4 linked regions of the Struthio camelus genome follow. The protein of the gene in region 1 interacts with the protein of each later gene in a pairwise test. Links are inferred from orthologs where the notes say so. Each region holds a gene or a part of one and is shown on either strand. Other genes may lie near its edges. The genes, in order: ADAMTSL4, HOXA1, FLNA and PRKAB2.

Region 1 (8,009 bases):
ACGCCCAGCTGCAAGCATCAGCTCCCGGAGTCAAGCGAAGCCTCCAGCCGCTGTTTCCTCCCGGACCACCCGGGCAGGCAGCGAGGTCGCTGTTGCAGCAGTTTTACCTCCCCGGTCCGGGATGGAGCAGCAGTGGCAGCCAAAAGCCTTGGCTCTGGCCCCAAACGGTGCCCGGGGGCTGGCAAACCGCCTCCTTCCCTGTGCCGGCAGGAGCCTGCTCAGCTTTTCCCCTTTCCCTGTTTGATCCTCTCCCTGCACAAAGACGCACCTTTGGGCTGCCGGAGAAAAGAAACAGCCAGGTCTCCAAAAACAGCACTGGAAAAGGAGGGGAAAGAGTTGGGGGGGGGGGAGGAAGGCAGCCCGGAGGCAAAGCAGAGATCTGGGCTGCTGCTGGGATCCTTCGGCTCCGGCCGGCTCCTGCTAGCGACCGGGTCACCTTGTCCTGCCCTGCGTCTGTCCGTCCGCCTCCCCCCCCCCCCCCGCCCCAAGCCCTTTGAAATGAAGGAATTTGAAGTATTTTTGGATGCCACGGCGGAAGAGGAGAAGGGATCCGTTTGCTGTTTCCACCGGCACAAAGCAGAGCCGGAGGGGAAGCCGTCCGGAGCGACCTGCGGGCCAGGGCACGGAGAGGTCGGGATCAGGCCCGGCAGCCGCAGGAGCACGAAAGCAGCTTGCGTTAAGACGGCTGAGAAACCACTTGTTGCCTGGGCTATCTATATTTGAAAATGTGAGCAGACTGGCTGGAATATCTCCCACCCTGGTGGAGGAGGGAAAATAAAAAAAAAAAAAAAACAGGTATAAAAATACCCGGGGACTTTTCCGTGCCTCCGATGGCATGTGGAGGGCACTGCCCGACGCGCAGCCTGCCCTCCACGCCTGGGCCGTCCGGCCCACCCCCGAAAAAAGCCCTAACTGTTATATCTGTATAAATAAAGATATAAAAATAGAGCACATGGTGGCCGGTGTATCAGCAGCCGCCCAGCACATTGTTTCCGCAGCTCTGCCCTGCCCGGCAGGGATGGCTCCGGGGGGGGGAATGCAATCACAGGCAGGAGAGATGCCCTTCCCAGGGCATTTCAGCAGCCCGGAGGCCCCCCGGCCCCCCCTTACCTGCTCGCTGAACGGTCACAGCCTGAGGGGACAGGGGTGGCCGCGGGCTGGGGTCCTCCAAGCCTGGGGGCTCCCGGGGCTGCCATGAAGGAAAGGGGGGAAAAGCTGGTCCCAGGGTGGCAAAGCACGGGGGGGGGGCAGGGGGAGCCGAAGAGAGGGAGCATCCAGGCACAGAAGGATGGGGAACGGGGCAGCAAAGGGATGGAGTAGCCAGGGAAGGATGCGGACAGAGTCCTGGTGGCCAGAAACGTGGGCACCCAGCAGCCCCCCCTGGATGCCAGTTGTCCCCCCATCCAGGGATGCTGCACATGGAGCTGATGAGGGGCTGGGCTGGGGAGGGGGATGGCAGGATGAGGAAGGGGCTGCGGGCTGGGCAAGGGAACGGGGAAGGGGGCTGCAAGCAGGGGAAGGAGCTTGTGAGCTGGGGAAGGGGGTGGGGAAGGGGCTGAAGGCAGGGGAAAGGGTTTGTGACCTGGGGAAGGGGGCTGCAGGCTGGGGAAGGGGCTGCGGGATGGGGAAGGGGTTTGAGGGCTCAGAAAGGGGGTTGTGAGCTGGGAAAGAGAGTTGGGGAAGGGGCTACAGGATGGGGAAAGGGCTGAAGGCGGGGAAGAGGTTTGAGGGCTGGGAAAAGGGGCTGGGGGCTGCAGAAGGGCATAGGGAAGGGGGCTGCGGGGTGGGGAAGGGGGTTGCGGTCCAGGACCCCTGCCCACACCGCTCTCACCGTCCCGGTGCTCCAGCCCCCCCTCGGCGAGGCCGCCGCTGCGGCTGCCCCGGCCCGGTCCCCCCCGGCAGCCCGGGTGCAGGCAGCGGGGGCTGGTCAGTTTCATCCCGAACAGGGTCAATTTCAGCTCGAAATGGTCAATTTCACCCTCCCCCCCTCCCCCCCCCCCCCCGCCACTCCGAACCGGGTCAGTCCCAACCCGAAAAAGGCGAGTTTCAGCCCGAATCGAGTCGCTCCCGGCCCCGGGACCGGGTGGCCCCGGCCCGACCCCCGCCGCCAACCGCTTCGCCCCCTCCCCGGTCCCCGGTCCCCCATCCCCGGCCCGGTCCCCCTCCCCGCTCGCGGTTACCGGCCCGGCCGCCGACCCGCTCCTTCTCCGCCGCGTCGCCGATCCCGGTGCTCTTCCCCCGGTCCCGGTTCCCCGCCCCTGACCCAGCCCCGCTCCCCCCTTCCCCGGCCCGCCCCGGTCCCCGGTCCCGGTCCCCGGCTCCGCGCACCTCGCGGCCGCCCCATGGACGCCCCAGGCTCGGCACCGCTCGGCGCGGAGCGGGGGCGGCGCAGCCCCGGCCCGGCCCCCGCCCGGCCCCGGCCCCGCTGCGCTGCGCTGCGCCCGGGGGGACCGGCCGGGGGGGGGGGAGCGCTGCTGCCCCACGGCCCCGGGGGGTGCCCCCGACCCCCGCTCTGCCCCGCACCTCCGGCCCCCCCCAGCCCGATCCCTGCACCCCTGCGCCGTCCCCGAGCCTCGTGCGGGGCTCCCGGCCCGTGCCTTGTCGCCAGGCCGTCGGGGACATCCGCAGCCCCCCACCCCATAGCCACCCGCCGTCCGGCCCCGGCCCACGGTCCCGGCCGTCCCCGAGCTGTGCGCCGTCCCCAGCCCGTGCCACGTCCCCAGCCCACGGCCGTCACTGACCCAGCGGGCACCGGCCGGGCTCTCTGGTGAGGGACGAGGCTGGTGACCTCGCTGTGTCAGCGGCCCGGTGGCCAGCGGGAGGACCGGGGCGGCCACCCCTGTCCCCACCAACGCCAGCCGCGGGGCCCGGTGACAGGCCGTGGTGGCGCGCAGGCAGGGGGGCTCATCCCGGCGTCGCGTCCCCCCATTACCTCTGATCGATCCCGTCCGCAGCGGCAAGGAGCCCTGATGCATGGCGAGGGGAAACTGAGGCAAGCAGCCACAAAGGGACGCGACTTTTACCCCTCCACACCCCGCTGCGGCCCTGGGGCAAGGTGAGAGCCGGGTCTGCCCCGGTCAGGCTGCTGGAGCCCCATCCCAGGCGGAGGCAAAAAGAGGGTTGCAAAAAGGCAGGGGGGGTTCCAAAAATGATGCAAAAAGGTGCAAAAAAAGGTGGATGCCGGGGGGGGGGTGGCCCAGGGGCGCCGGATGCAGACGAGCAAACTTCAGCTGGGACCAGGGCACTGGCGCCAGCCTCGGTGGCAGCGCGATGGCAATGTCTCCCGTGCAAAACTGCGTGCCTCAGTTTCCCCCAGGGAGCAATCCCCTCTGCGGGGCTTCGCCAGGGCCCCGGCCTCGCACCGTGAAGTGCTTTTAATTGCGCCGAGCTGCTCTTGGCAGCGGCTCCAGCTGAGCAATTAGTGACTGGGACTCGACGAGGCCTCGCATGGCGGCAGCCAGGAGGTCCGCGGCAGCCGTGGGATCCCTGGGGTTACTGGGAGGCTGGGAGGGACTGGGAGGGGGGACGCGGCCGCGGCGGCTCCCGCTGTGTTGACACAAGTCCCGTCCCGTCCCACCCCCCGCTCGCTGGCTGGGGCGACGGCGCGTCTGGGACCCGGCGCCACCGCCGGCCGGGGAGGCATCGCCCTTGGAGCTGAGACCGTGCAAACTCGCTGCCACGGGAAGGGCTGGCAGCGGTCGAGGTCAGGCCGGGAACCCCGGTGTGACCTGCTCTCTTCCCGGGCGGCTCCCGTAAACACGGCCCCGGATCCGGCCACCGCCCCGGCACGCTCCCGAATTAGCACCAGGGCCCAAAAATAGCCTCCGGCCCCGCTGGGACCCCGCCAGGCACCAGGGACCCGGGGACATGGGGGGTACGGGGACGTGGGGGACACCATGGGGGACATGGGGGCATAACAGGGGCCACGGAGTCATCAGCGGGGCCATGGAGATGTGGGGGGCACGGGGACACCGCAGGGGACACTGGGACGTGGGGGGGCATAGGAAGGGGGAGACGCAGGCAGACCAGGGTGGGGGGGGACGGGGCAGCTCCACGTGCGCCCGGACCCACGGCCAGACCCGCAGCCGGACCCGCCACCCTGCGGGACTCCCACCTCCGCGGACCCCGCCCGCCTGGGTCCCTGCGGTGCCGCTGGCGCACCCCGACACGCAAACAGGCCCCGGCGCGCGGCGCACGCCTGCACGCGGCCGCACAGACGCGCACCCTGCGCGGACACACCTGCACCGCGGCCCCGGCATGCCGGGGGGGCCGAGGCACCGGGGCGGGGTGGGGGGGAACCGACGCACCTTGGGGAAACCGAGGCAGGGCTGCGGCGCGAGGGTGCAGGCGGAGCCGGGCTGTCGGGGAAAGGCTTTATTGAGCCCCAGGAGCCCGTGGCCGTCGCGGGGCAGGAGAGGGGCCGCGGTGCAGCCCCAGCCCCCCCCCCCCGGTCCCGTCATGCCCCCGGCGAGCTCGGGACGGGGTCCGCAGCCCTGCCGGGGCTCAGCATGGCCAAGGGGGGGGGGGCGGACGGTCTAATCCTGCTCCGCGGCCAGCAGCTCGGGCTCCGTCGAGGCCAGCAAGACGCTGGCCAGGTAGCTGGCGTCGAAGCACCGGCGCTGCTCCTCTGCGGTGCCGTGCGCGCAGCATCGCTTGGGGTCCTTCCACGAGTCCCGCTGCGAGGAGCAGAGGGCGGCGATGGTGCGGGATTTCTGCGGAGGAGACGGGAGGTCACGAAGGGCCCGGACGCCTGGGTCCCCCGCGTGGAGGCGGGGCGGGGGCCCTGCGCTCACCTGGTCCTCGGCGCAGGCGACGCGCTCGGCCCCGCCGCGCGGGCAGCACGCCTCCGTGATGCTCTGCACCAGGGCCGGGACCGGCTTCCTGCGGCGCCGGAGAGAACCGCCGTGAGCGGGGTAAACCCAAGGGCTGGATCCTCCCGGCGGGGGCCAGGACGCCTGGGCCCCCCGCTGCCACCCCCTAACCCCCCCCCCGGCCTGCAGTACCGCCCAGCGCCGCCGGGGGGCGGCCCAGCCCCGTATATCCCGCCCCGTCGGGGGAGCCCGGTTTGGGGGGGGGGGGGGCCGGACGCCTGGGTCCCTCTGAGCACTGCCAGCGTGGGGGATCTGGAGGAACATCCCGGAGGGGAGGAGTGGAAACGGGGCCCGGACGCCTGGGCCCGCCGGCACTCACTGCTTGGCCAGGAGGCGCGCGGGGCCGCAGAGGGCGTCGAGCAGCGCGGGGCCGAGGCGGGCCAGGCTGGCGTTGCGCAGCTCGCGGTCGTAGGCGGGATGCGGGGCCTCGCCGGCGAAGCAGCCCCAGCGGGCCGGGCCCCGGCCCCGCTTGCAGCAGCGGTGCTGCTTCGTCTTCACGCCGCTCTCCTCCTCGCAGAAACGCCCCAGCGTCTTCTGCCACTGCAAGGGGGGGGGGGGGAGAGCTGAGCATCGGCCCGGCCGCCGGCCAGGTGGGGAGGGGAGGGGAGGGGGGGGGACCCCCACCCCGGGGCGCCCTCGGCCCGGACTCACGGCGGCGCGGGCGCACTCGACGCTCTCGGCGCGGCAGCACGTCTTGTAGTCGCGCTCCAGGCGGGCCAGGGCGCGCGCTCGGCTCTTGGCGGCGCCGAAGCCGGACGGGGGGAAAGCGCCGGGGCCGTAGACGGGCCGGAATTTGCGCAGCCGGCAGATGTTACCGATGTTGGCGGCGGTGGGCTCGCCGGGGGGGAAAACGGGCTGGGGTAGGGGCGGCACGGCGGCGGCGGTGGCCGGCGGCGGCTGCAGCTCGAGCGGGGCGGGCGAAGCGGCGGCGGCGAAGCAGCGCTCGCGCTCGGCCCCTCTCCTCTTGCAGCAGTAGTAGTGCCTGGTCTTCACCCTGAACTCGTCGGCGCAGAAGTCCTCCAGCACCTCCGCCCACTGCGCAACAAAAATAATGAAAATAATGAAAAAAAGATAATATTGCAGCAAAAATGCAATAAACATAAAAATTAGCAAAAAGCCCCCCCCCCCCCCGTAGGGGACTCACCGCCTGCTGGGCGCAGGGCAGGGGCTGGGGCCGGCGGCAGCAGGCGTCGAGGCGGCCGTCGAGGCGCTGCAGCGCGTCCGCCTGGCGCCGCAGGTGGGAGAAGCCGGTGCGGGGCAGGTCGCCCAAGGCGTCCCGGGGCCGGGGCCGGCGGCACAGGTCGGCGATGGTGGCGGCCGCGGGGCGCCCGGGGGGGAAGTCCTCCAGGTCGCTGCCCCAGCGCTCCGGGGACGATGCCGACGGCGCCGGGGAGCGCAGCACGGGCAGCACCAGCTCCCGCTCCTGCTGCAGCACCGGGGCTGCGGGACGAGCAGGGTCACGGCGGGGCGCCCGCGGTCCCGTCCCGGGGCTGGGGGCGGGGGGGGATTTCCCTGCCTCCCACCCGGGACACACGTCCTTGCAGCCCTGCTGGATGCGTCCCCCTCGCCCCGTCCCTCCGCCCCCATCCCTGGGGCACGCGTCCGGGGAGGGGGGGGGGTCACATCCCCCGGGGGGGGGGACAGGACGCGTCGCCCACCCTTTCCCAGGGGTCACATCCCCGCGTCCCCCCACCCACCACCCCCGGGGCTCACCTTGCTCCAGGTCCTCGAGCCGCAGCAGCAGCCCCACCTGGGCCGGGGGCTCGCGGGGCCCCGCGGCCGCCTCGGCGCCGGCACCTGGGCGCGGGGACGGCGCAGGGTGAGCGGACCCGGGCGGGGGGGAACCGTGCCCCCCCCACCACCACCGCATGCACCCGGACCCGCCGGGAGGAAGAGGAGGAAGGAAGGGGCGCGAGGCCGAGGGTCGGTCGCCCCGCGGGGCCATGCCCCGCGGCCCTGAGTCACTTCCCAGGGCCGGGCCTCAGTTTCCCCCGCCTGAGACCTGGCCAACTCGTTCCACCCGTCCCAGCTCGTTTCAGCCGCCGGCAGCGCTACCCCTGACCCGGTGCCTCCCTCAGAGCCCCCCCCCCCCTTAGGGACCCAGGCATCCGGGGCGCAGGAGCCGGGGGGGGGGGGCTCACCGGCGGCCAGGCAGAGCGGCGGCGCGACGAGGAAGAGGAGCAGGAGGAGGAAGGCGGCCATGGCGTCGCTCCCGGGTCGGCCGCCGGCCTCGCCGCCTTATGAAGGGCCGGGGCCGGGCGCGGGGGCCCATCCTGCCGGGGGCTGAGTCACGGCTGACGTCGCTGGGCCCTCCCCGCCGCCGGCCCTGCCTCAGTTTCCCCACGCGCGGGGGGTCCCCCGGAGGAGGAGGAAGGAGGGGGGGGCCGGGACCCCCCCCCCCCACTCCTGACTCACCCCTCAGCGGTGCAGGAGAAAGCCGGTTTTTCCCCTTTTTTTTTTGTTGTTTTAACTTTCCCCTTTCCCGGTTTACCCGCCCCGCGGCTCCACCCCGGAGCCTGGCCGGGTCCCCGCGCGGGGCTGATTCACCCCCCCGTCCCCCCCCCCCGGTGCATCACGTCCCCCCTTCCCGGCACGGGCAGCCGGGCTGGCCCCTGCGGTGGTCCCGGCCCCGGGGACGGCCCAGACAAGCGTGGAGGGTCCCCAGGCCACCGGGTGGCACGAGGTCGGTGGCCTCGGGCACGTCCCTTAGCCCCCCGGCGCAGGGGGGGGGACGCAGCCCCGCGGCCCCGACCGCAGCGGGGGGGAGGGCTGAGTCCTGGCTGCAGCTCGGTGCACCGGCCGCCCACGGAAAACGGCGTTATTTTCTAGCTGTGAAGCCAAATATTTGGGCCGAACGACAAGTGCCCAAAGTGGTGGCGGCTGGCACAGGGCGAACACGGGCGATTGCCCAACGGCGGCCGGGGGGGGGGGGGGGGGGACAGCGGGGCCCGGCCTGACGCGGGGTTTCACAATCCCTCCCGAAACCACCGCGCGGCCCGAGAGGCGGCGAGCCCGCCACGGAGGGCGAGCGAGGGAGAAGGGGGAAACCGAGGCACGGGGAAAGGGGGCCCGGCCCCGGCCCCCCGGCCACCGACCCAAGGGGAGGATTTGGCAGGGCTGGTGCCAGCCGGTGCATGC
Region 2 (7,067 bases), on another chromosome or scaffold:
ATTATTCGAGTGTAGAAAAGGAAGAAAGTTTGTGTTATGAATCAGACTGGACAGCCCGAGCTCTGACCCCGGCCAAAAAAAAAAAAAAAAAAAAAAAAAACACGTCAGGAGTAATGTTGGGATGTTCTTTCTCCCTTTCTCCCTGAGAAAGGCCCCATCAGAAGAAAATAATGGAGAGTAAACTGCTGAGCTGAGCCGGTGACTCATCAGTGACGTCACGCAGAGGTACGCACACAAGGGATACCTGAAAGTTGAATATATTTATTACAGACATTATAAGGACCCGTAGATTGTGCCCTGGATTCCCTCAGTCCCAGAATCGCAGAGCCTTTGATGATTGTACAGGAGACGAGGAAGATAGTTCGCTCACACACGACAACTGATAGAACTCAGTGTACCCGGAGTACAGCAAAGCACTGTGCATCATGCAAACTTCCAGACACGAATCACATAAAATATACATTCATTTGGCCAGTCGTCACATTTACGATTAGATTGAAAAGACGTCGAGTCTAAAGGAGGGTTAATATGAAAACAGGAAGAGGTGAGGTCTTTTGGACAGTTATACCCTTCGGTTCAATATAATCCAGCACAGACTTCTGTCGGGGGAGGGGGGAGGGAAAGCACACCGGGTAAGGTTTTCAAAACCTAGTGCAATTGAAGCCTTGTTTGTCACACTTAAACAAATAGCGCTACTCTTTGAGGTATCTGCTTGAGCTTAACACGTTTAACTTGATACGGTCGTCTGCTTTAACAATATAAAATTGGATCCAGTTTTGCGAATGCACCCACCCTGCTTAACCTGATAATCTAAACGTCATTTCTAGAAAAATCTGTAAAAAGATAAATCTCTCGGACAAAGTATTTACAAGCAACAAACTCATAGACGCGAACAAAGAATACATTAAATTAAAGGATGAAAGTCCTGTAAGTCGTGTAAACACTTCCAATAGTGCATCTCTTCGTGAGGTTATGTACCCTAGATAGCCTGTCTTTCACTCAGGGGGAACTTGAAGAAAGGTCTTTGCAACGGAGGAGAGAGACCCTTACACATGTGCCAACACATCTCCTCCAGCCAAAGGGGAACAGAGAGAAAATGTCCTCTTGGCCCCGAGGCCCGGGGGCCGGGGGGGCGCGGAGCGGGCGGCTGCCCGCGACGGGGCGGGCGTTTGGGGCACCGGGGCTCTGAAGGAGACCAACCAGCCAACACACACACACAACAGCGTTAAATCGGTTCGAGCTACGGTAGGGAGGCGGCTTGGGAGTCGCGAGTCCAAGCCAGGGAGCACCCAGGTGCGTCTCAGTTTGAGGTAGCAAGAGTGTCTGAGGTAGAGGAGGATGGCGAGGCAGTGCAGGGCGACGAGCAGGACTTCTCTGATAACTCCTCCGCTTTCTCCTCACAGCCCGTGGGGGTGGCGGGAGAGATGGGTAGCAGCCCCTCTTTCTCTCTTTTCTTCTGCTTCATCCTGCGGTTCTGGAACCAGATCTTGACCTGCGTCTCGTTGAGTTGCAGGGAGGCTGCAATCTCCACCCTCCTGGCCCTGGTCAGGTACTTGTTGAAATGAAACTCTTTCTCCAGTTCTGTGAGCTGCTTGGTGGTGAAATTAGTTCTGACCGTGTTGGGCTGCCCCACGAAGCCGTACTCGCCAGCCTTTCCTGCAAAAGGGGACATCCAGCATTAAGTAAGCGCAAGTGATTTATAGGCGACGTAATCAATGTGTCCACACCGGCTAAGCGATAGGGAGCAAGAACTTCTTAGGATAAGAGGGAAGCCCCGGCAGGGTGAGTGATGGAGTGCGAGGTGCTAAACTGGACTCAGCCTCTAGTGTCAGAGGAAACTTGATAAGTGGTTTATGAATTACAAGAAATATGACCGCGGGGGGGGGGGGGGGGGTAGGCACAGGCAGCGCTGACTTTGAGCGTAGCGGGCAGACGGCGGCGGCTGCTCTCGGGGGTCTCGGGCGCTTTACCTGCAAAGCAAACGGACGGGACACCTGTGCGCCGCCGGCCGCGGGGGCTGTGCTTTGCCTCGCCTTGGCTTTACCGACGGAAGAGAGAGAAAGGAGCTCGCCCCCCCCCCCCTCCTCAGGCCCTCCCGTCCTGCAGCCGGGGACTAACCTGTTTTGGGTGGGTTTCTCTTGACTTTCATCCAGTCAAAGGTCTGCGCGGGCGGCGAGGTCTCCGCGGACGGGGAGCGGGCGTTTTCCTGGTGGCTGGCGTGGAGAGGAGACAGGGCATGGTTATAGGTGCCCAGCGGCAGGCTCTGCTGCTCCTGTCCGTAGGGGGGGTGCACGTACTGAGCGGGGCCCCCCGCGTAGCCCTGGTGCGGGTGCTGCGCGGCGGCGGCGGAGGAGAGGCTGCCCGAGTACACCGCGGGCGCGCAGGGGGGGAAGCCGGCGCCGAGCTCCGCGTCTTGCCCGAGGGGGTAGGGGCTGTACGCCGCGCCGAAGCCCTGCGCGCCGTACGTCGGGCCGCAGCCGGCGTGCGAGTAGGAGACCCCCAGGCCGCCGTGGGGCTGGTAGGCGGCGGGCTGGGCCGGGGGGTGGTGGTGGCGGTGGGGGCTGATCTGCACCCCGCGGCCCACGAGGAAGCGGTCCTCCCCGCTGCAGCTGCCGGCGCTGACGGCGCAGGGCTGGAAAGTTGTAATCCCGTGGTCGGGGTGGTAGGCGCGGGCGGCGCAGCCCCCGGCCTCGCCGCCGAGGACGGGGTACTCGAGGAAGGAGCTCATCCTCGCCGTGTCCCTCTGTCACGCCGCCACCGGGTCTTCAGCGTCCGGCGGGGCCGCGCCAACTTTCCCACTTCCTCCATGGGGCCGGGAGGAAAATGACACGAAGGTACAGCGAGCGGGGAGGCACGTGGGGGGCGGCAGCCAATGGCTGCGGCGCCTGCGGGACTTTCCCGGCTCCTGCCGCTGATAGATCGCCGCGTCGGGGGCATTTAAACGCCGAGCGCTCCGACGGCGCGGCACGGCGCGGCGCGGCGCCGCGGGGCACGGTGGCCGCCCCGGGGGGGGGGCCCGCTCGCCCGCCCGCCCGCCCGCCCGCCCGTCGAGAGGGGAAGGCAGCAGAGAGCCTGGCGGCTGCGCCCGTGCCCCGGAGCCCACCGGCCGTCCCCTCCAGGGTGAGTGATGCCGCAGCGTCCCCGCCGAGGGTTGCCCCAGCGCCTCCCCTGCTGCCGGCGCTGTCAGGCTGGCGATCGGCACCCTCGACCCACTTCCTCCCCCCGCCGCCGCCGCCGCCGCCTCTCTCTCCCGGGCATGAGCCGCGGCGGGGCGGCAGCCGGACCCACGGCACGGGGGGAGGCCGGGACAGGCTCTGAGAGCATCAGGCCTGGGGACGGGCACGGGCACGGGGCCGCGGATGGGCACGGGCACGGGGCTGGGGACGGGCACTCCCGCTGCTGCTGCTGCCCCGCCGCAGAGCCCAGCGCGACGCGCCGCCAAGAGTTAAAGGGGCTTGTCCAGCCGCATCACCAGGCGGCCGCGGACATTAGCATGGAAATGAGGCGCTTTTGGGACTGACGGCCATTGTGCTCGGCCGGGCCCCCCGGCCTCCCCCCGGCCCGGCTCCCCGCTCCCCCCACACCTCCGCCGGGCTCGCCCGCGCCAGCCTGGGGCTGTGGTAGGGGAGGGGGAGCTGGTGGCAGGGAGATGGGAGATGCCCGCCAAGGTGACGGGGCCGGGGACCCGTCTGCCAGCACTGCTGCCGCCCCGCACTCCCCTAGGCCCGGGCGGGGGCGGAAAGCTGCCCGGGGGGCGCAGGTCGCGGCCCGCCAGCCCGGGGCCGGGGCTGCGGAGCGGCGGGGAGATGCAAAGCCCGCCGCCCCGTCCCCTTTGTCCCGGCTCCGCCACCCGGGCTGGCAGTGGCGGGAGGTGGCAGATGGCCAATGGCAGAGGTGGCCCCAGGACCCTTGGGAACCGCACTGAGCATCGACTCCAACTCCCCCTTCCCCCCCTCCCCCAAAAAGGGTCCATGGGTAGAAAAGGAGGGATGGCGGCTGGGATTTGAATTGCGACCTCATACTCGCTTTGCGTATGCAAAAAAGGCAAGGGGAGGTATAGATCGGGCATCCACCCGTCCCAGGGCACCTATCCATCTGTAGGGAGAGGGGACGGCACCAACAAACCGATTTCAGCACACTTCAGAGAGGCGTCCTGCGAAAGGTTAACCTAGGGGAGAGATGGGTAAGAACTAATACTCCCACTAGCAGCAGCAGCTCCGTGAGCAGCTGCCTTCTGTATTCCTGCAGGTGCATTTCCAGCCCGATCGTACATCGCTAGGTTCTCAGGCTTTGTTGTTTTCTTCTGAAGCCCAAAAAGCTTCTCTACCCTGCCACCTCTCCCTGCTCACAAACACTTAACACACACACACACACACACACACACACACACACACAGACACACACACACACACACACACGCAAACCCACAAGCTCCTCCCATCTGAACTACAACATCCTCTCCTGGGTGCAAGGCTCTCCTACTGCTGTCAGGTCAGCCCTTATCCCACTCCATCTGCAAGGCCTCTCTGCGGCCAGCAAAAACTGAGGGACTGCCCATGCTTAACCATATGCCCTTAGTATTTCTGTTTGCTTTCATTTACTGCGCAGGCACGAATGAGTAAGAGCCCTCTGGAAAGGTTCGGTTTCTTAAACTCCGGTGGGGACGTGGCGGGGAGGAGTAACAACAAAACTCCAGAGGCATTTATGGAATTATACGGCACCATTTTTGGCTATGGTAACGGATGTAAACACATTTATTTCATTCTTGTAAAGCAGTTGTGATAAATACTGCATAAGGCAAAGGAAAAGGCAGGCCGCTGGGACTGTTTACTAATAAAAGAGCTGGCGTCTTTTCAGGGCTTTTTTACAACAGCTGGCCAAGAAAAAGGCATATTTTGCTATAAATAGATCGGGTTTACCCGTAAATCCTGCCAAATTACAACACCTCTCTTACAGCCTCCTGCATCCCGGAATCTTTTTTTGTTTGTTTGTTTGTTTTCTCGTATATTCGTGCCATTGTTCAGCAGAGATCCCTCTCTTTTGTTACATTGTCTCTCTCACAGTGCCTCGGATTTTTGCTGCCAATACTGTGCATGGGGGCAACATAATAAGGAGGGCCAGAGCAGAGGGAAAAATGCCCCTCCACCACCCGCCGAGTGGAGCTGCCCCCTCTCCGCTCCCAGAGGCGCCCGGCGGGCCCCTCTCCCCTCCGAGCCCCCTTTGTGGCTCGCTCCGGGCCGGGGTGCAGAAAGTGCCATTTCCTGCCCAGAGCTGGGAGAGAAGGGGGCAATTCCGGTGCTTAAGGCTTTTTCGTGGGAGATCTCGCATGCCCTCCCACCCCCCAGTACCCCCGCTATGGCCCTAGGGCTTATCGAGAGAGACTTAGGCGGCTCCTGTCTGCTGAATCGCCCGATTTGTTTAAACCGAGTGTGGGAAAAGTTTAAATCTGGTAGCATATTTTTCTTTGTTTCTTTTGTTTTGTTTTGTTTTGTTTTTTAAGCGTTAGCAGTATTCAGATATCTAGGCACAAAAGAAATCCCAGCCCATACCCGCACATTGCAATCCAGTTTAACCCAGTGCCACAGGAGTTAAAATACCGGTGAGGCTACTCGCTTTCCGCAGAGCCGGGGCTGGAGCAGAGAGAAGGACAAGAAGCAGGGCCGAGGTTTTGCCGCGTCCGCAGCTCAGCCAAGCTGTTGTTTTAAAAGAGCAATAAAAATGAATTATGACTAAACGCCTTCTCACTTAATGGTTTTAGACGGGGATCCCCAGCCCCGGCAAATACGTAAGAGGATTTTTATTTGTGCATGTGTTCCTGCAATTGATCTCTTTGATGACATTCTCATTCATAGAAAGAGTTTGATTTATGACTTTCGGAAGAATTGCGTTCAGCCCTTCCAGCTATAACCCACGCAGCTCAGCTCCACAACGTGTTGCAGGGCTGGGAGACAGCACTCCTCGCACGGACGGGCAGCGAAGTGCTTTCCCCAAACCCTCGCTCAGGCTGCGTTCTCGTGTGCACACGCACACTCACACTCCCACACTCACACTCACACACGCAGAGACATACACAGCCAGGGACCAACGATCCCTCGGGCTCTGCTCGCCCCCGGAGCCGGGAGCCGCCGGCTCGCATCTGTTGCTCGGCTTCAGCCCGCCGGACACGGCTCGCCCCCCGCTCCGGGCTCCGGCAATGCCGCTCAGCGAGTCGCAGGCAATTTGCTGGAGGTTTTTTACGCCCATCTTTGCTGCCTCAAGCAGAGAGCGGGGAGCCCTGAGGAAATTTCTACTCGGAAAGTAAGAGTTCCCCCTTTTCGTTATCAGCCATTCCGCTCGCAATCGGGTTTAAAGAGAAAATACCTTGCGCTGGGTCCCCGCACTTTCCCTCAAAATAAGCAAGTGGAGGGTGTATTCTCCCTAATGCTTTTTTTTAATGCTTTTATGGCACCTTTTTGATTTTGCAGGCAATAACTTTTTTTTTCCTCTCTTTTTAGGGCTGTTTTCTTGGACCGCTCAGCACGTGGACACGAATCAAACGCACTCTCTGTGAGGTTTTATATTTTAAGATACGCTTCCTGAAACAGCTTGCTGGCTGCTAAGTACTGTATTCTAGAAAAATAGGATTTTTTTTCCGAAAAGAGCCCTTCGTGTATGTAACAGGCTAGTTTCTGCAGGAAACACTTTTCCGACTAAGTCTAGCTTATGTTTTGCCTGCAACAAAAAAAAAAGTGCACCGTTATGCTTTTGTTACAGTTTAGAATATCCAAGCTTTGTATCCGCACGGAGATAACATGCTACGTTTATATATTAAAAGGAAGAAGCCTCTATCTAAGTTGTTTTAGTTTGTGTTTTTTTCTTGTGAGAACCCTTGCAATAAAGAGTTTGACAGTGTTTTTTCCTCTCTAAAACATGTACTTTCCAAAAGGGGAGAGATTATAGTCAGAATGTTGAATTTTCATTATTAGTAAATTAATAATAGAAGGCAGGGGGAGAAATATCCGTTATGTTATCAGTCTTGAAAGGAGAGAAAGAGAAAGAGAAAGGGAGAAAGAGAAAGAAAAAAGAGA
Region 3 (7,339 bases), on another chromosome or scaffold:
ACGCAAACCAGGGACACGGCATCGCTGGGGACACGGTGCCACCACGGGCACAGGGTGTGGGGACGCAGAACAGGGACACGGCATTGCTGGGGACACGGTGGCACCACCACGGGTGCAGGGACACAGACACACAGTGGCCTCAGCCAGGCGGGCTTGGGGACACAGCGCAGCGGCAGAGGGGGACGGGGACACACAGGGCAGCAGGGAGGGGGACAGGACGGGGAGTGTGTGTGTGTGGGGGGGGGAACGCCTGGGGCCCCGGCAGGGGGTTGGGGGGAGGCAGCCCGGACGCCTGGGTCCCCTCCCCCGTGGGAGGGGGGGTGGGAGGTGCTGGGCAGGGGGAGGGGGAGTGGACACCGCCGCCCCCCTCCAAAAGCGGCGGGGGGCGGGGAGGGGGCGGGGTCGAGCAGGCAGCCCCGGGCCGCCCCTCCCCACGGTGGCCCCAGCCCCGCCCCCCGGCCCCGCCCGACGCTCCAGCATTTTTTGGCCTTATATGGGCTCGGGCGCCAGCGAGGCCCCGCCCCCGCCCCACGGCCCCGCCCCCGCCCGGCGGCCCCGCCCCCGCCCCCCGCCCCACTCGGGACCCCCGGGGACCCCCCGCCCCCCCAGCCCTACAGACACCCCAGCGCCCCACGGCCCTATAGGGACCCCCTGCAGCCCTGTAGGGACCTATCTGCATCTTATAGCCCTATAGGGACCTCTCTGCATCTCAGCCCTATAGAGACCCCCCACAGCCCTATAGGGACCTCTCTGCATCCCACAGCCCTATAGAGATCCCCCACAGCCCTATAGGGACCTCTCTGCATCTCGCAGCCCTATAGAGACCCCCCCCCCCAGCCCTATAGGGACCTCTCTGCATCTCACAGCCCTATAGAGACCCCCCACAGCCCTATAGGGACCCCTCTGCACCTCACAGCCCTATAGAGACTTCTCTGCATCCCATAGCCCCATAGGGACCTCTCTGCACCCCACAGCCCTATAGAGACCCCCCCCCACAGCCCTATAGGGATCTCTCTGCATCTTATAGCCTTATAGGGACCCCTCTGCACCCCATGGCCCTATAGGGGCACCTCACAGCCCTACAGAGACCCCTCTGCACCCCATGGCCCTATAGAGACCCCCCGGGACACTCGGCATCCCACAGCCCTCATACAGTCCTATACACATTCTCCTGCACCCTCCTATAGGGCCCCCTGCACCCTATAGGGCTCTCCTGCACCCCATAGGGTCCTGCAGAGGCCCCCTCTTCCCCCTGCACCCTATGGCTCTATAGGGACCCCCATGGCCTTATGGAGCCTGCAGAGCAGCCCCCACAGCCCTGCAGAGATGCCCCTGCATCCTATAGGCCCCCCCACAGCCCTATAGCGACTTCTCTGCACCCTGCAGCCTGACAAGGCCCCCTGCACCCCACAGGGCCCCCCTGCACCTATAAGGGAGCCCTGCAGCCCCATAGGGCTCCCCTGCAGCCCTCCAGGGCCCCCCTGCAGCCATAGGGCCCCCCTGCAGCCCACAAGGTCCCCCGCAGCCCTATAGGGCTCCCCTAGAGTCCACAAGCAGCCTTGCAGCCCCACAGCCCGCCCCCCCCCCCGCACCCATAGGGCCCGACAGTTCCCCCCCCCGCCGTTTCCTGGCATCGAGGCCGGGATGAGTCACGGGGGGTGAGTAACCCCCAGCCCCACCCAGAGGAATGTGGGCCCCGGGGGGATGTTTGGGCCCCGGGGGGGTGTCTAGGGCCCCGCTGCCCCCCCGGGCAGGGTGGGGCCCCGGAGCCGCCCACAAATCTCAGCCTTCCTCTGGGCGCAGGATGTGGGGAACCGCAGGGCCGAGGGACCCAGGCGTCCGGGGACCCCCGACCCCCCACCCGAGCCCCACATCTCCCTCGGCCCCGCGAAAAGGGCCGAAGGACCGAGGCGTCCGGGAACCCCTCTGCCAGGGCCCCACCCCCCCCAGCAGGACTGAGGGACCCAGGCGTCCGAGCGGCACCCCCCCCCCCACATTCCTGGGATGGGAGCGGGCCCAGCCCCCCCTCCCCGCCTTTGTTATGGGGCCGAGGGGGGCCGGGGAGAGGGCCCGGTGCGGGGGAGGGGGGCGGGCGGGGGTCCCTGTTAAGGGGGGAGCCAGAAGGGGGGCTACTGGGGAGGTCAAACAGAGGGTCCTGGGGGTCTCTAAGGGGGGAGCCCAAAGCGAGGCCCATTCAGGGGGCACCCAAACAGGGGCAGGGATGGGCCCAGAGGGGGCCCGTGGAGGGGGCTCCCAAAGGGGGGGGTGCCAAAGGCGGGATCCTAAAGGGGGCCTCAAGAGGGGGGACTCAGGAGGCAGGTCTCGCACGGGGCCCTATCGGGGGGGATCTCAAGTGGGGGCTCCCAGAGAAGGGAGAAACGCTCCCAAAAGGGGGGGCATGAGGGGAAGGGGGCTGCCACAGGGGGGCGGCTCCCGAAAGGGGAAGGGGGGTCTCACATAGGCCCCCACTGGGGGGTTCTCCCGAAAGGAGATCTCACTGGGGCAGGTCTTATGGGCCCCCCCTTATCAGTGCAGGCATTGGGGTGCACCGGTCCCAACCGCGTCCCGCTGGGGGGTCCCGGGGGTCCCCCGCGGCCTCACCGATGGAGACCAGCTTGATGTTCTCCCGCTCGAGGAACTCGAGGGCCACGGAGACGTTCTCCAGCTGCATCTGGCGGAAGGTGGGCCGCGCGTTGTACTTGCGGCCCATCTTCTTCTGGCTGAGCACCTCCAGCAGGGCGATGAGGCGCAGCCCGTCGCCCAGGTCGGTCTGCAGGTTGCCCACGCGCTTGTGCACGCACTTGAGGTGCTCGTTGCACCAGCGGGTGAAGGTGTTCTGCTGGATCCGCTTCCAGGGCGCGTCCTCCGCCAGGTCCTTCTCGGTGGCCGGCATCTCGCCGTCCGCCGCCGCGCGGTTTGGCTCCGCGCGCGACCCGTCCGCGCGTGACACCGCCTCCTCCGCGCGCGCGCGCCCCGCCGCGCTCATGGCTTTAAGGGGGCGGGGGCGGGGGGGCGACGCCCCCCGCGGCTGCCGCGCCTGCGCGCCGAGGGGGGGGCGGCGGCTTAAAGGGGCCGCCGACCTGGGGGGAACGGGGAGGGAGTGAGCGAGGGGCCCCGGGGGCACCCCGCCAGCCCCCACCCGCCTCGACGCCCCCCCCCCAGTCTGGGCCCCCCCGCGCTCCCCGGTTGGGACCCTCCCCGATGCCCCCCCATTTGGGGACCCCCCTGCACACCCCCCAGCCCCGGCGGTGCCGAGGCCTCGGGTGTCCGGGGAAGCGCCAGACGGATGCTGAGTCAGGCCCAAAACCGCGAGGGGGGGTGGGATCCCTTCCCCCACAGCCCGGACGCCTGGGTCCTCGCGCTGAGTCACCCCGGCGGGACGGTGCCCCGTGGGGGGTGGGGGGTCACGCCCCCCGGCATGGGGGCGCCCCGAACGCCTCGGACCCTCCCAGCCCCACACGCGTCCTCAGAGCCTCCTTAGCGCTCCTCCGTCACACCTTGACGCTGCCCCGTCACACCCTAACACGCCCCGTCACACCAGGAGCTGTCCCGTCACACCCCATCAAGCCAGGAACCGCCCCATCACACCCCGTCACACCAGGAACCGCCCCCATCACACCCTCACATGCTGCATCACACCAGGAGCTATCCCCGTCACACCCCGTCATGCCAGGAATTGCCCTGTCACACCGGGAGCCGCCCCCGTCACACCCCGTCAAGCCAAAAACTGCATCATCACACCCTAACATGCTGCGTCACACCAGGAGCCGTCCCTGTCACACCCCCACCACACTGACAGCCATCCCCGTCACACCCTAACACGCTCCGTCACACCAGGAGCCGTCCCTGTCACACCCCCACCACACTGACAGCCATCCCCCGTCACACCCTAACACGCTCCATCACACCAGGAGCCACCCCTGTCACACCCCCACCACACTGACAGCCATCCCGTCACACCCTAACACACTCCATCACACCAGGAGCCACCCCTGTCACACCCCCACCACACTGACAGCCATCCCGTCACACCCTAACACGCTCCGTCACACCAGGAGCCACCCCTGTCACACCCCCACCACACTGACAACCTTCCTCCTCACACCCTAACACGCTCCTTCACACCGGGAGCCGCCCCTGTCACACCCCCACCACACTGACAGCCATCCCGTCACACCCTAACACGCTCCATCACACCAGGAGCCACCCCTGTCACACCCCCACCACACTGACAGCCATCCCCCGTCACACCCTAACACGCTCCATCACACCAGGAGCCACCCCTGTCACACCCCCACCACACTGACAGCCATCCCCGTCACACTCTAACATGCTCCATCACACCAGGAGCCACCCCTGTCACACCCCCACCACGCTGACAGCCATCCCCCGTCACACCCTAACACGCTCCATCACACCAGGAGCCACCCCTGTCACACCCCCACCACACTGACAGCCATCCCCCGTCACACCCTAACACGCTCCATCACACCAGGAGCCACCCCTGTCACACCCCCACCACACTGACAGCCATCCCCGTCACACCCTAACACGCTCCATCACACCAGGAGCCACCCCTGTCACACCCCCACCACACTGACAGTCCTCCCCGTCACACCCTAACATGCTCCATCACACCAGGTGCCACCCCTGTCACACCCCCACCACACTGACAGTCCTCCCCGTCACACCCTAACACGCTCCATCACACCAGGAGCCACCCCTGTCACACCCCCACCACACTGACAGCCATCCCGTCACACTCTAACACGCTCCATCACACCAGGAGCCACCCCGTCACACCCCCACCACACTGACAGTCCTCCCCGTCACACCCTAACACGCTCCATCACACCAGGAGCCACCCCTGTCACACCCCCAGCACGCTGACAGCCATCCCCCGTCACACCCTAACTGCTCCGTCACACTGAAAACCGTCCCCCTCGGCCCCGTCACCCCTGCGGCGGGGGGCTCCCCAAACTGCCCCGCAGCCCCCTCGCCGCACCCCATCGTGCCCCCTCACGCCCCAGCAGGGCTCTAGACGCAGCCGCTGCCCAGACCAGGGTATCCCCCCCCCCCACGGCACCCCCAAAACGAGCGCTCCTGGGGGGTCCCAGACCCCCGGGGGGGTCCCCAGCCCCTCAAGTGTGGGTCCTCCCCACTGCACCCCCAAAGACGGGGGCCCCAGGAGGGTCCCCAGACCCCCCCCGGGGAAAATCCCCTCACAGCACCCCCCCAGGAGGGTCCCCAGACCCCCCCCGAGGAGAAAATCCCCTCAGGACACCCCCAATAAGGGTCCCCCCCAATGACACCCCCACAAAGGGGGTCCCCAGACCCTCCCGAGGAGAAAATCCCCTCACAACACCCCCCGAAATGGGTCCCCCCCAATGACACCCCCCCAAAAGGGGTCCCCAGACCCCCCCGAGGAGAAAATCTCCTCACAACACCCCCCAATAAGGGTCCCCCCCAATGACACCCTCCCCAAAAGGGGTCCCCAGACCCCCCCCGGGGAAGATCCCCTCACGACACCCCCCCAACGGGGTCCCCCCCCCGGGCACCCCAAAGACGGGGGTCCCCAGCGCCGCCGCAGCCCCCCCAGCCCGCAGCCCCGCGCTCACCGGACCGGGCGCCGCTGCCGCCCGCGGAGGTGAAGCCGCCGGAGCCGGAGCCGGAGCCGGAGCCGGTGCCGGAGCCGGAGCGGGAGGGCGGGGGGAGCCGGAGCCGGGGGAGCGGCGGCGGCGGCTGTGGCGGAGCGCGGCCGCCGCGCGCGGGTGGCGGTTGCCGGGGGGGCGCGCGGCGCGCGCGGCGCCTTAATTGGTAACGGGCGCGCGGAGCCCCGCCCCGGCCGCGGGGGGGCGGCGGGGGGAGAGGGGCCGGGGGCGGCGGGGGGGGGGCTGTGGGGCGGGAGGGCCGTGGGGCAGGAGGGGCCGTGGGGACAGCGGGGGGGGGGGGCAAGAGGGACTGTGAGGATGCTGTGGGGCAGGAGGGGCGGTGGGGCAGGAGGGGGACAGTGGGGAGGCTATGGGGCAGGAGGGGCCTATAGGGGATTATATGGGGCAGGAAGGGGATTTGGGGTTACTATCGGGCAGGTAGGGGGCTATGGGGATGCTATGGGGCAGCAGGGCACTATGGGGGTACTATGGGGCAAGAGAGGGCTATGGGGCTGCTATGGGGCTGGAGGTTGCTGGGGGGGATGCAGGACAGAAGGGGGCTATGGGGCAGCTTTGGGGCAGAAGGGCAGCTATGGGGGATGCTATGGGGCAGGAAGGCACTATGGGGATTATATGGGGCAGGAGGGGGCTATGGGGCTGCTATGGGGCAAGAGAAGAGCTGTGGGGCAGGTGGGGGTTATGGAGGGGCTGTAGGGCAGCAAGGGGCCATGGGGGATGCTATGGGGCAGGTAGGGTATATGGCAGGGCTGTGGGGCAGGACACAGCTATGGGGTGATATGGAGCGGAAGAGGGCTATGGGGCACTATGGGGCAGAAGGGGGCTAGGGGGGCTGCAGCGTGATGGGGGCGATGCTATGGGGCTCTATAGGGCAGCAGGGCTCCCCTGGGGCAGGACAGGGCAGGAGGGGATCCCACAGGGGGCTATGGGGCAGGAGAGGGTGACGGGGGATGCTATGGGGCAGGAGGGGGGCTGAGCGGGCCCTATGGGGCAGCTGAAGGCCTGTGGGGTGCTATGGGGCATGGGGGGACCCCAGGGGAACAGCTATGGAGTGGGAGGGGGGCTATGGGGCAGGGGAGCAACCTAAGGGGCAGAACAGGCCCCGCGAGGCGCTGTGGGGCAGCAGGGCGGCCAGAGGGCAGGCAGGCGGCTATGGGGCGCTGTGGGGCAGGGCCCCCCCGGCCCTCAGGAAACGAGGCAGCGGCGGAAACGGCTCCTCCGGCCGAGGGCCCCGATAGCGCCGGGGGCTCGTTAGCGGGGGGGCTCGTTACCAGGTCTCCGTGGCGGTTCGTTTGCGGCGCCGCGAGCCCTCGCACGCGCGTGTGCATCCTTGCACCGGTGTCAACATGCACGCGTGTGCGTGCTCACTCCAGCGCCCTCGCACACGCGTGTGCTCCTCACGCACACGGCACCACGCGGCTGCCCCCGCCATGGCCACGGGCCGCTCACACGCGTGGCCATGCACACGCTACACCCCGGCCCCGGGATCCGTGTCGCTCCCGGGTGTGCAAACACGCATGTTACACCCCCACCCCGGGATCCGTGTCACTCCCGGGCGTGCAAACCCAAACCTGTTACCTGCCTGCATCAGGCCCTGTGCAACCAACACATGTGAACACGCGTGCTCAAGGCTGCACCTGCTTGTTCTTCACGCACACACGCGTGTAGCA
Region 4 (7,383 bases), on another chromosome or scaffold:
GCAGGATGTTCCCTCAGTACAACCTCATGTGCTGACCACATGGGAATGGTCTCCTTTACAGCAGCAGCGGGATAGGACCTTCCTCACAGACTCACTGCTTGGGCCAGCCCTTAGGCCAACGTTCACTGTCCTGGCTCGGCCTTCCCATCCGCCCCTTCCCAGGCTGTTCCAGTTCCAGTTCCAGTCCCCACTCCAGACCCAGGCTGTCCTAGTCCCAGTCCCCTCCATCTCTTCCTGGGCTGTCTTGGTTCAACTGCTGTCACAGCTCCCAACAGCTGCAGCTTATTCCAGCTCCCAGGTAGGGCCTGATAGACCCCGCAGGCACGGCGAGGTACAGGCAGAGATACGCTGAGCCAGATAAGCGCCTGCAGGGAGCACCCCGCAGCCCCGTCCCTTGCCCCTGGGAGTCCCAGCAGGTGCTGAGCGTGCCCACCCATCCCGCAGGAGCACCCCGATGAGGGCCGCGCCAGCATCTACAAGTCCGTCATCATCAACACCTCCAAGGAGATGATGTGCTTCAGCGACTTCCCCATCCCCGACGACTTCCCCAACTACATGCACAACTCCAAGATCATGGAGTACTTCCGCATGTACGCCCAGCACTTCGACCTGCTCCGATACATCCGCTTCAGGGTGAGCGCCGCGGGGCCGGGGGGTGCAGGGTGCCCTGGGCAGGCTGGGCGCAACCTGACGCCCGCTCCTTGCCCCCTGCGCCCAGACCAGCGTGTGCCGCGTGGCAAAGCGCCCCGACTTTGCCGTCACCGGCCAGTGGGACGTGGTCACCGAGAGCGGTGGGGAGCAGGAGTCGGCCGTCTTCGACGCTGTGCTGGTGTGCACCGGGCACCACACCAACGCGCACCTCCCGCTGCACACCTTCCCAGGTACGCTGCGCTGGCTCCCCTGGGCCCACCGCGGGTCTCACGGCCCCGTGGGCCCTTTACCTGCTTCCCAAGGCCTCTCAAAGCACTCGTCTCTTTAGGCTTAGCCCTGACCCCACTGTGCTTGCTGCCAAAAACGCCCCTCGTGGGTTCCTGCATCAATCCCCACTGCAACAAGCTGCAATCCCACCCATTTCAGTGGTCTATCTGCCACGAGGCTCTCACAGTGCCTTCAACATCTGATCAAACTGCTCTGCTCTGCAGGCAGATACTGCTGAATTGTGAAAAGATTTAGGGAATGGGTCTCCGGTCCCAGCCCTGCTCCACAAACTGGGCCATGTCCCACTGACCATCTCCCAGGGTGGAGATGCCACCAGCTCTCTGGGCGCTGTCCCAGGGCTGCATCACTCCTGCTGGTCACAGTGGGCTTGGCTCATTCCCAAAACACATTACCAGCCCGAGCCGGAGGACAGCCACCCCCTCGCCCCGTGGTCCCTCCCTGGCACAGCTCTGCTCTGCTCTCCCTCCCAGGGCTAGAAAAGTTCAAGGGCTGGTACCTGCACAGCCGGGAGTACAAGACCCCGCAGGCCTTCTCAGAGAAGTGCGTCATCGTGGTCGGCACCGGGAATTCAGGCATCGACATTGCTGTGGAGCTGGGCCACACAGCAAAGCAGGTGTGCCCACAGCATGGCTGGCTGCAAACGCACGGGGATGCTGTCCATCTCCTAGGAGAGACTCATTTAAAACCAGGCTGGGCTTTCACCCTGTGCCTGTGCTGCCAAAGCCGACCAGTGGCCAGGCACGCTCCTTCTCCCTCATCTCGCTCCCAGACTATATTTATTCCTGGCCCATGCAGGCCTGTCTGATTTCAGGCCAATGCTGCACTTCAGCTTAAAAGGCTATTCTCCCTCGCTGCTGTGTTTATTTATAGAGAGCAACCTAATCCCAAAGGGTATTGGGGCAAGCCTCCTCCATCGCCTGCAGGCTCCCCTCCCTGCTGTGCCATATCCCTCTGAGAGCATCTCCCACCCCCTTTGCAGAGGGTGGTCGTTGTCACCCTAGCAGCTGTGTCAACAACCCCAACGTCCAAGGGGCACAGCAAGAACACAGCCCTGTCCTCTGGCTGCTGCACAGAGCCTGGAGCCAGCGCATAATTTAGGGGACCACCCATTGACTGGGACCATAGCGGCACCCTGACCCCCTCCCAGCTGATCCCAGCTGCACGGGTGCTGCGCAGGGGATTCGCATGCCTCCACGGGGGTGCACAAAGGAAACGGCTCTCAGGACACAGCTCTTGTCCCTCATGCCACACTTGGCACCTCCACCTCCCCTCTCCTCCCTCCCAGGTCTTCCTCAGCACCAGGCGCGGGGCCTGGGTGCTGCACCGCCTCGCCGAAAGCGGCTACCCCTTCGACTTCTCCTACCTCACCCGCTTCATCCAGCTCCTCCAGAGCCTCGTTCCCCTCTCTGTTGGGAGCTTCATCCTGGAGAGGAAGATAAATGCCCGGTTCGACCACGCGCTCTACGGCCTGCAGCCCCAGCACCGGTAAGCGCAGGGATGACACACGGGTCCTGCACCAGGCACTGGGACGCACCACCCGATGGCCCAGAGAAGCTGCCGCATGCCTGCCCCATGCCCTTTGCAAGGTTTCTCTGTGCTCTTCCAGGATCCTCCACCAGCACCCGACCATCAACGATGACCTGCCCAACCGCATCATTTCGGGCAGGGTGAAGGTCAAGCCAAACGTCCGCGAGTTCACAGCAACTGCCGCCATCTTCGAGGACGGCACCAAGGAAGACGACATCGATGCCGTGGTCTTCGCCACAGGATACAGCTTCTCCTTCCCCTTCCTCGAGGACTGCGTGACGGTGGTGGAGAACCAGATCTCCCTGTACAAATTCATGTTCCCCATCGACCTGCAGAAGCCAACGCTGGCTTTCATCGGCCTCATCCAGCCCCTCGGCGCCATCATGCCCATCTCCGAGCTCCAGTGCCGCTGGGCCACCCGCGTCTTCAAGGGTAAGCGAGCCAAAACAGCGCCCCCCCCCCCCCCCCCCCCCGCGCAGCTATAGCCTGTGGCCCGCAGGCCTGAAACCTGAACCCGCTCGGGCTCTTCCCCTCTAGGGCTGAACAAACTGCCTCCGAGGTGCGACATGGAGGCTGACATCAACCACAAGAAAGAAGAGATGGCCAAGCGGTAAGACCCCGCCGGGAAACGGGGCCAGGCTTGCACGGCCGCCGGCGGTGAGGCAGCCTGCGGGGTCCTGTCCCCTCCCGGCCCTCCCTGCATCCCGCGGTCCCTCCCGCCTTCCCGCACCCGCTGAGAGGGATGTGCTGCCCCGTCCCCCTTCTCCTCCATCCCTGCTCACTTTGCGCCACCCTCAGCCCCAGCAACCCTGCCACCAGCCCTGAAGCTCCCCACTCGGCACGCCCCCAAAATTGCAGCCCTAGCGCCCGTCCACCTCCTCCCGCAGGTACGTGCGGAGCCAGCGGCACACCATCCAGGTGGATTACATCCCCTACATGGACGAGCTCGCCTGCCAGCTGGGTGTCAAGCCCAACCTGCTCACCCTCTTCCTCACCGACCCCCGGCTGGCGACGGAGGTGCTGCTGGGCCCCTGCACCCCGTACCAGTACCGCCTGCAGGGGCCGGGGAGGTGGGCCGGCGCCCGGCAGGCCATCCTGACCCAGCGGGAGCGCGTCGTCAAGGCCCTGCGAGCCCGAGACGGCACCGCTCCTCCCCGCACCACCTTGGTGCCCCACGCCTTCAAGGTCCTCCTCAGCATCGGCCTGATCGTGGCCACGCTCGTCTACGTCTCGCTCTCTCCTTGACCCGCCGACCCAAGGAGACGGGGTCCTGCCCGCGCTCGTCCTCCCTCCCTCCGGGCTTCGGCCGGCACGGAGGAAATCGCCTCCCAGAGAGAAGCTGTCTCGCCTCCCGCCGCCATCGTGGCCCCTCGGGAAGAGGGCAATAAAGCTCGCCCGCGGGCCGAGGGCATCGCTGAGCACACTGTGTGACCTCCTGGGCCGCCCCCGCCCGGTCTCCAGCCCCGTGCCCGGGCCAGTCCCCTGCAGGCCCCGCCACCCCTGGGCCTCGCACCCGGGCCGGCCCTGCCCTCAACCGACATGGCCGCTCCGAGCGCCGCTGAAGCCCACTCGCCCTCAGCCAAGATGGCCGCGCACCAGGCCGGCCGCCCCTAACAAAAATGGCTGCCGCCCGCCCGCTGCCGCACCGACATCTGCTTGAAGCCAGGCCGCCCTCCAAAAAGATGGAGGCTGCCCGGCGGCAAAGAAGCGGGGCTGGGGAAGCCCGTTCCTGCCAGCCCCGCTGGGCCACTCCCGCCGCCGGGCCTGCTCTCGGGGCGGCCGCCCTCTTATCGCTGGGGGCCCGGGCAGGCGCGGAGAGCGGGCGGGCGGGGCGCGGCCATAGAGAGCAGCGCGTGGGCGGGCCAGAACGTCTCGCGGAGGCTGGCGGTGGCGGCCGGCGGGGGGAGGGGGGAGAGGAGGCGGGAGCGGGAGGGGGGTGTCGCCATTTTGGACGGAGGCGGAGAGCGGGGAGGAGGCGGCGGCAGCGGCGGCGGCGGGCAGGTGGGGCCGGGGCGAGGCCGTCGCTGTCCGTGCTGGGGCCGGGGGCGGCTGGTTGCCCGTGGCGCGGGCTTGGCTGGCGGGTGGCCGGGCCTCCCCGAGGGGACGGTTGGGCGGGCGTTACCGCGCCGCGGGGGCCCGCGGGTGACGGTGGCGGGGCCGCTGCGGGCCGGGCCGCGGGGTGCCCTGCTCTGCCCCGCGCCGCCTGGGCCGGGCCCGAGGCCTCGGCCCCGCTGGGTGCGCTCCGCGGATCCCCGATGAGACGCTCTCTTCTCCCTGATTTCCCGGCTTGTCAGCATCATCATCATCAGGCCAACTGAGCTCTTGTTGCGTTTGCTAAGAGAAGGGGGGGCAGGAGAATCCAGTGAAATGAAACTTTCTTGGCTTACTTCAGTGCCAAGAGGCGTCGACGGAGCAGGCTGTGGGCAACTGTCGCCGAACAGCAAGGTGGTCTCCGCTGAACGAATCCCTTCGGATGGCTCGGGCGTGTTTTTTGTGACAGGGTAGCTGGCCCAAAGGAAGAGGGAGAAGCAGTAGGTGTGGTGGGTATAGGAGGGCTTTGTGCACCTCGCCTGTCATTTCCACGAGGAAGCGGGGGGAAGCAGGGGCCAGACGAAGCTAGTGTTGTCATTAGTGACTTGCATGATGCGTTAGAAGATACCTGTGCCAAACTCTCAGAGGATGCTGTGCTACAAGGGGTGGCTGAGCTTTGGAGGATTCAGTTGGTAAAAGTTAGTTCAGTAAAGCGAAGTACAGCAGGCTGTGCTCGCAGAGCACTGAAATGGACTGGCCACAGGAATTTACAAGCCGCAAGCGAGTTGCTGCAGAAGGATGTTGCTGTTCCAGTGCAGCAGCGTGGCTGTGTGCAGGAGGCAGGAGATGCTTCTTGTCTGCACTGAGCTTTGGATGTCACATTTTGGAAAGGAGTAACCACCTGGGAGAAATCTTGGGGAACATATAGAGAATGTGGCCACCGAGGGAGACTCAGAGGGATTGGATTGCTTCTAGAAAAGAGAAGGGGGAGCTTTCAAATCTGAAACAGTCTGCATGTTATCTCTCAGATCTGTTTTGTTCAGCCCTTCTTACCTTGCTGCTAGTAGATGAGAAGTTAAGAGAGTCTTGGCCGAGATAGCGGGCAAGAAATTTCATAATACCACATATAGTTGAGCAGGGGCAGGTTCTATGAGGAGCTGGTTCAGTCTCCTCTAGGCGAAAGGGGGAAGATGTCAGAGCAAGTGGAGCACCTCTCCTGTCCTGGGCTGTTCAGGTACACTTGATCTTAGCTCAGAGGGGGGGCTGTGGTATGTGCTAGCTGTCCTCTCGAGCTATCTTTTAGCCCTAAGGATTTAAGAAATACTTTAGTAATTGCTCTGCAAGTAATGTTCTGAAGCCTGGCTTTGGCTGGCAGCCTCGCCTGGCACCCTACGTATAACCTGACCTTCTAAACAAATCTCAAATGTCACAACTAAGTGTATGAAGTAAGGCTGGCCGTCCTATTGCCTTGCCCACAGAGCTGGCAATCAGCGTAGTATGACTGAAAGCATGTGAGCTACAGAATAAACCTGGGAAAGGGGCAAGGCCCACAGTCCTCCGCTGCTGCAAGTTGGGTAAGGCCTGGAGCAGGCCTGAAGAGACCTATGTAACTTGTGATGGCTTTGTTTGCCCTGAGAGGTGTGTAGTTGTTAGTGGCTTGTTGCCATAGGGCAAGTTCCTCCTGCTTTGCATTCCCTGAACTGGATGAAATTGGGGATGATGCCCGATCTCCACCTGCAGAGCAGTGCTGAGGCAAGCAGGCTTACCTTTCACTCATGATGTGCCTCTGGATGGCCAGCCAGATGTCTGACCGCTCGTGGTAGTGCCGCTGGCGAGGGCTGTAGCAAGCAGACGCCCCTTGTTGTGCTGTGCCGGAGCTGACGTGGCCACTTGCCTGGTGAATGATAAGTGAATGCCATCAAGAGCTGAGCTTTCTGCAGACACCAGGGCATTAGCCTTATGCCTTGGCCAAGCTCCAGCTTGGGCAATTCCACTCAGACTGTTTAAACGCTCCCTGTTGCTTTTGCCAGGCACAAGGCTCTGCTCGTCTGCCCGCGAGCCCTTAGAGAGTTGCTGAGGGCTGTTAAACAGCTGCTACTCTCACTCCTTGGCTGTTTTCTTGCTGGAAATAGAGATTTTGTCTGCAGAGTCTGTTGGGACTATGAAAGAGGCTCTGTTTATGTCAAGCAATTGATTTGCCAATAAAGGTTGGCTTTATTTTTCCCATCAGCCCCTCTGCTATGCTGGCTGGTGAGGGTTGTGTAGGATGCAGTGCAATTTGTGTCTGTTTTAGAGTATAACAATTACCGGGTTGACTAGAGCAACGGCTCATAAGGATATGGCTATAATTAGCTCAAGCTGTCTTGTTTGTTAAATTCCCCTTCAGGTCTCAAACTTGGCAGTGGGAATGAACTTTGAGCCTTTTTTAGGATTGCTGTCAGTCTCCCCGGGCAAAGGATGTTGGGAAACACTGCCTTCACTGCCTCACTGCAGGAGCCCGTGGGCATAGGAACATCGTCATCTTCTCTCTCCCGCAGAGCTGCTGCTGAGCTGCCATGGGAAACACCACCAGCGAGCGACTGTCTGGGGAGCGCCATGGCTCCAAGTCCCACCGCTCGGATGGCTCTGGTGCTCCCCACTCTAGCAAAGAACATCCACACAAGATCATGGTGGGCAGCACCGACGACCCCAGTGTTTTCAGCTCTCATGACTCCAAGGTATGGGCTAGCCGCTGCCTTCCCGGTCCTTCCGCTTGAGGTCCTGGCTGGTGCTTCAGCTCGCCCCTGGGGTAGCTCTGCTGGGGTGGTTCTAGCTGAGCTGAGACAATTTGTGCGGAGTCAGTTTTGTCTGAGGGGGTAGTAACAGCTGACGTGAGAGCTGCTTTGT

The links.
Region 2: the proteins of ADAMTSL4 (region 1) and HOXA1 interact in binary tests that used the Homo sapiens proteins (3 or more experiments, as listed by UniProt). The two-hybrid records come from large-scale screens. The link is inferred for Struthio camelus from reciprocal best matches to the Homo sapiens genes ADAMTSL4 and HOXA1.
Region 3: the proteins of ADAMTSL4 (region 1) and FLNA interact in binary tests that used the Homo sapiens proteins (3 or more experiments, as listed by UniProt). The link is inferred for Struthio camelus from reciprocal best matches to the Homo sapiens genes ADAMTSL4 and FLNA.
Region 4: the proteins of ADAMTSL4 (region 1) and PRKAB2 interact in binary tests that used the Homo sapiens proteins (3 or more experiments, as listed by UniProt). The link is inferred for Struthio camelus from reciprocal best matches to the Homo sapiens genes ADAMTSL4 and PRKAB2.

The regions. Positions count from the first base shown.
Region 1 is NC_090971.1:2,664,636-2,672,644, forward strand, and holds the start of ADAMTSL4 (ADAMTS-like protein 4), read right to left. Parts: upstream 3,010-8,009; 5' UTR 2,933-3,009; intron 1,190-2,932; 5' UTR 1,111-1,189; intron 316-1,110; 5' UTR 269-315; intron 1-268. Other genes in the region: ECM1 (extracellular matrix protein 1), read right to left, coding at 4,536-4,712, 4,794-4,881, 5,191-5,411, 5,523-5,906, 6,016-6,311, 6,585-6,668, 7,013-7,073. UniProt on the Homo sapiens protein: Positive regulation of apoptosis. May facilitate FBN1 microfibril biogenesis.
Region 2 is NC_090943.1:39,094,300-39,101,366, forward strand, and holds HOXA1 (homeobox protein Hox-A1), read right to left. Parts: upstream 3,004-7,067; 5' UTR 2,729-3,003; coding exon 2,119-2,728; intron 1,657-2,118; coding exon 1,301-1,656; 3' UTR 242-1,300; downstream 1-241. UniProt on the Homo sapiens protein: Sequence-specific transcription factor. Regulates multiple developmental processes including brainstem, inner and outer ear, abducens nerve and cardiovascular development and morphogenesis as well as cognition and behavior.
Region 3 is NC_090979.1:220,165-227,503, reverse strand, and holds the start of FLNA (filamin-A), read right to left. Parts: upstream 3,002-7,339; 5' UTR 2,987-3,001; coding exon 2,602-2,986; intron 1-2,601. UniProt on the Homo sapiens protein: Promotes orthogonal branching of actin filaments and links actin filaments to membrane glycoproteins. Anchors various transmembrane proteins to the actin cytoskeleton and serves as a scaffold for a wide range of cytoplasmic signaling proteins.
Region 4 is NC_090949.1:9,238,995-9,246,377, forward strand, and holds the start of PRKAB2 (5'-AMP-activated protein kinase subunit beta-2), read left to right. Parts: upstream 1-4,375; 5' UTR 4,376-4,467; intron 4,468-4,684; exon of another isoform or gene 4,685-4,911; intron 4,912-4,947; exon of another isoform or gene 4,948-5,731; intron 5,732-6,883; exon of another isoform or gene 6,884-7,034; 5' UTR 7,035-7,052; coding exon 7,053-7,214; intron 7,215-7,383. Other genes in the region: flavin-containing monooxygenase 5, read left to right, coding at 445-633, 719-881, 1,410-1,552, 2,225-2,424, 2,546-2,898, 3,004-3,076, 3,354-3,711. UniProt on the Homo sapiens protein: Non-catalytic subunit of AMP-activated protein kinase (AMPK), an energy sensor protein kinase that plays a key role in regulating cellular energy metabolism.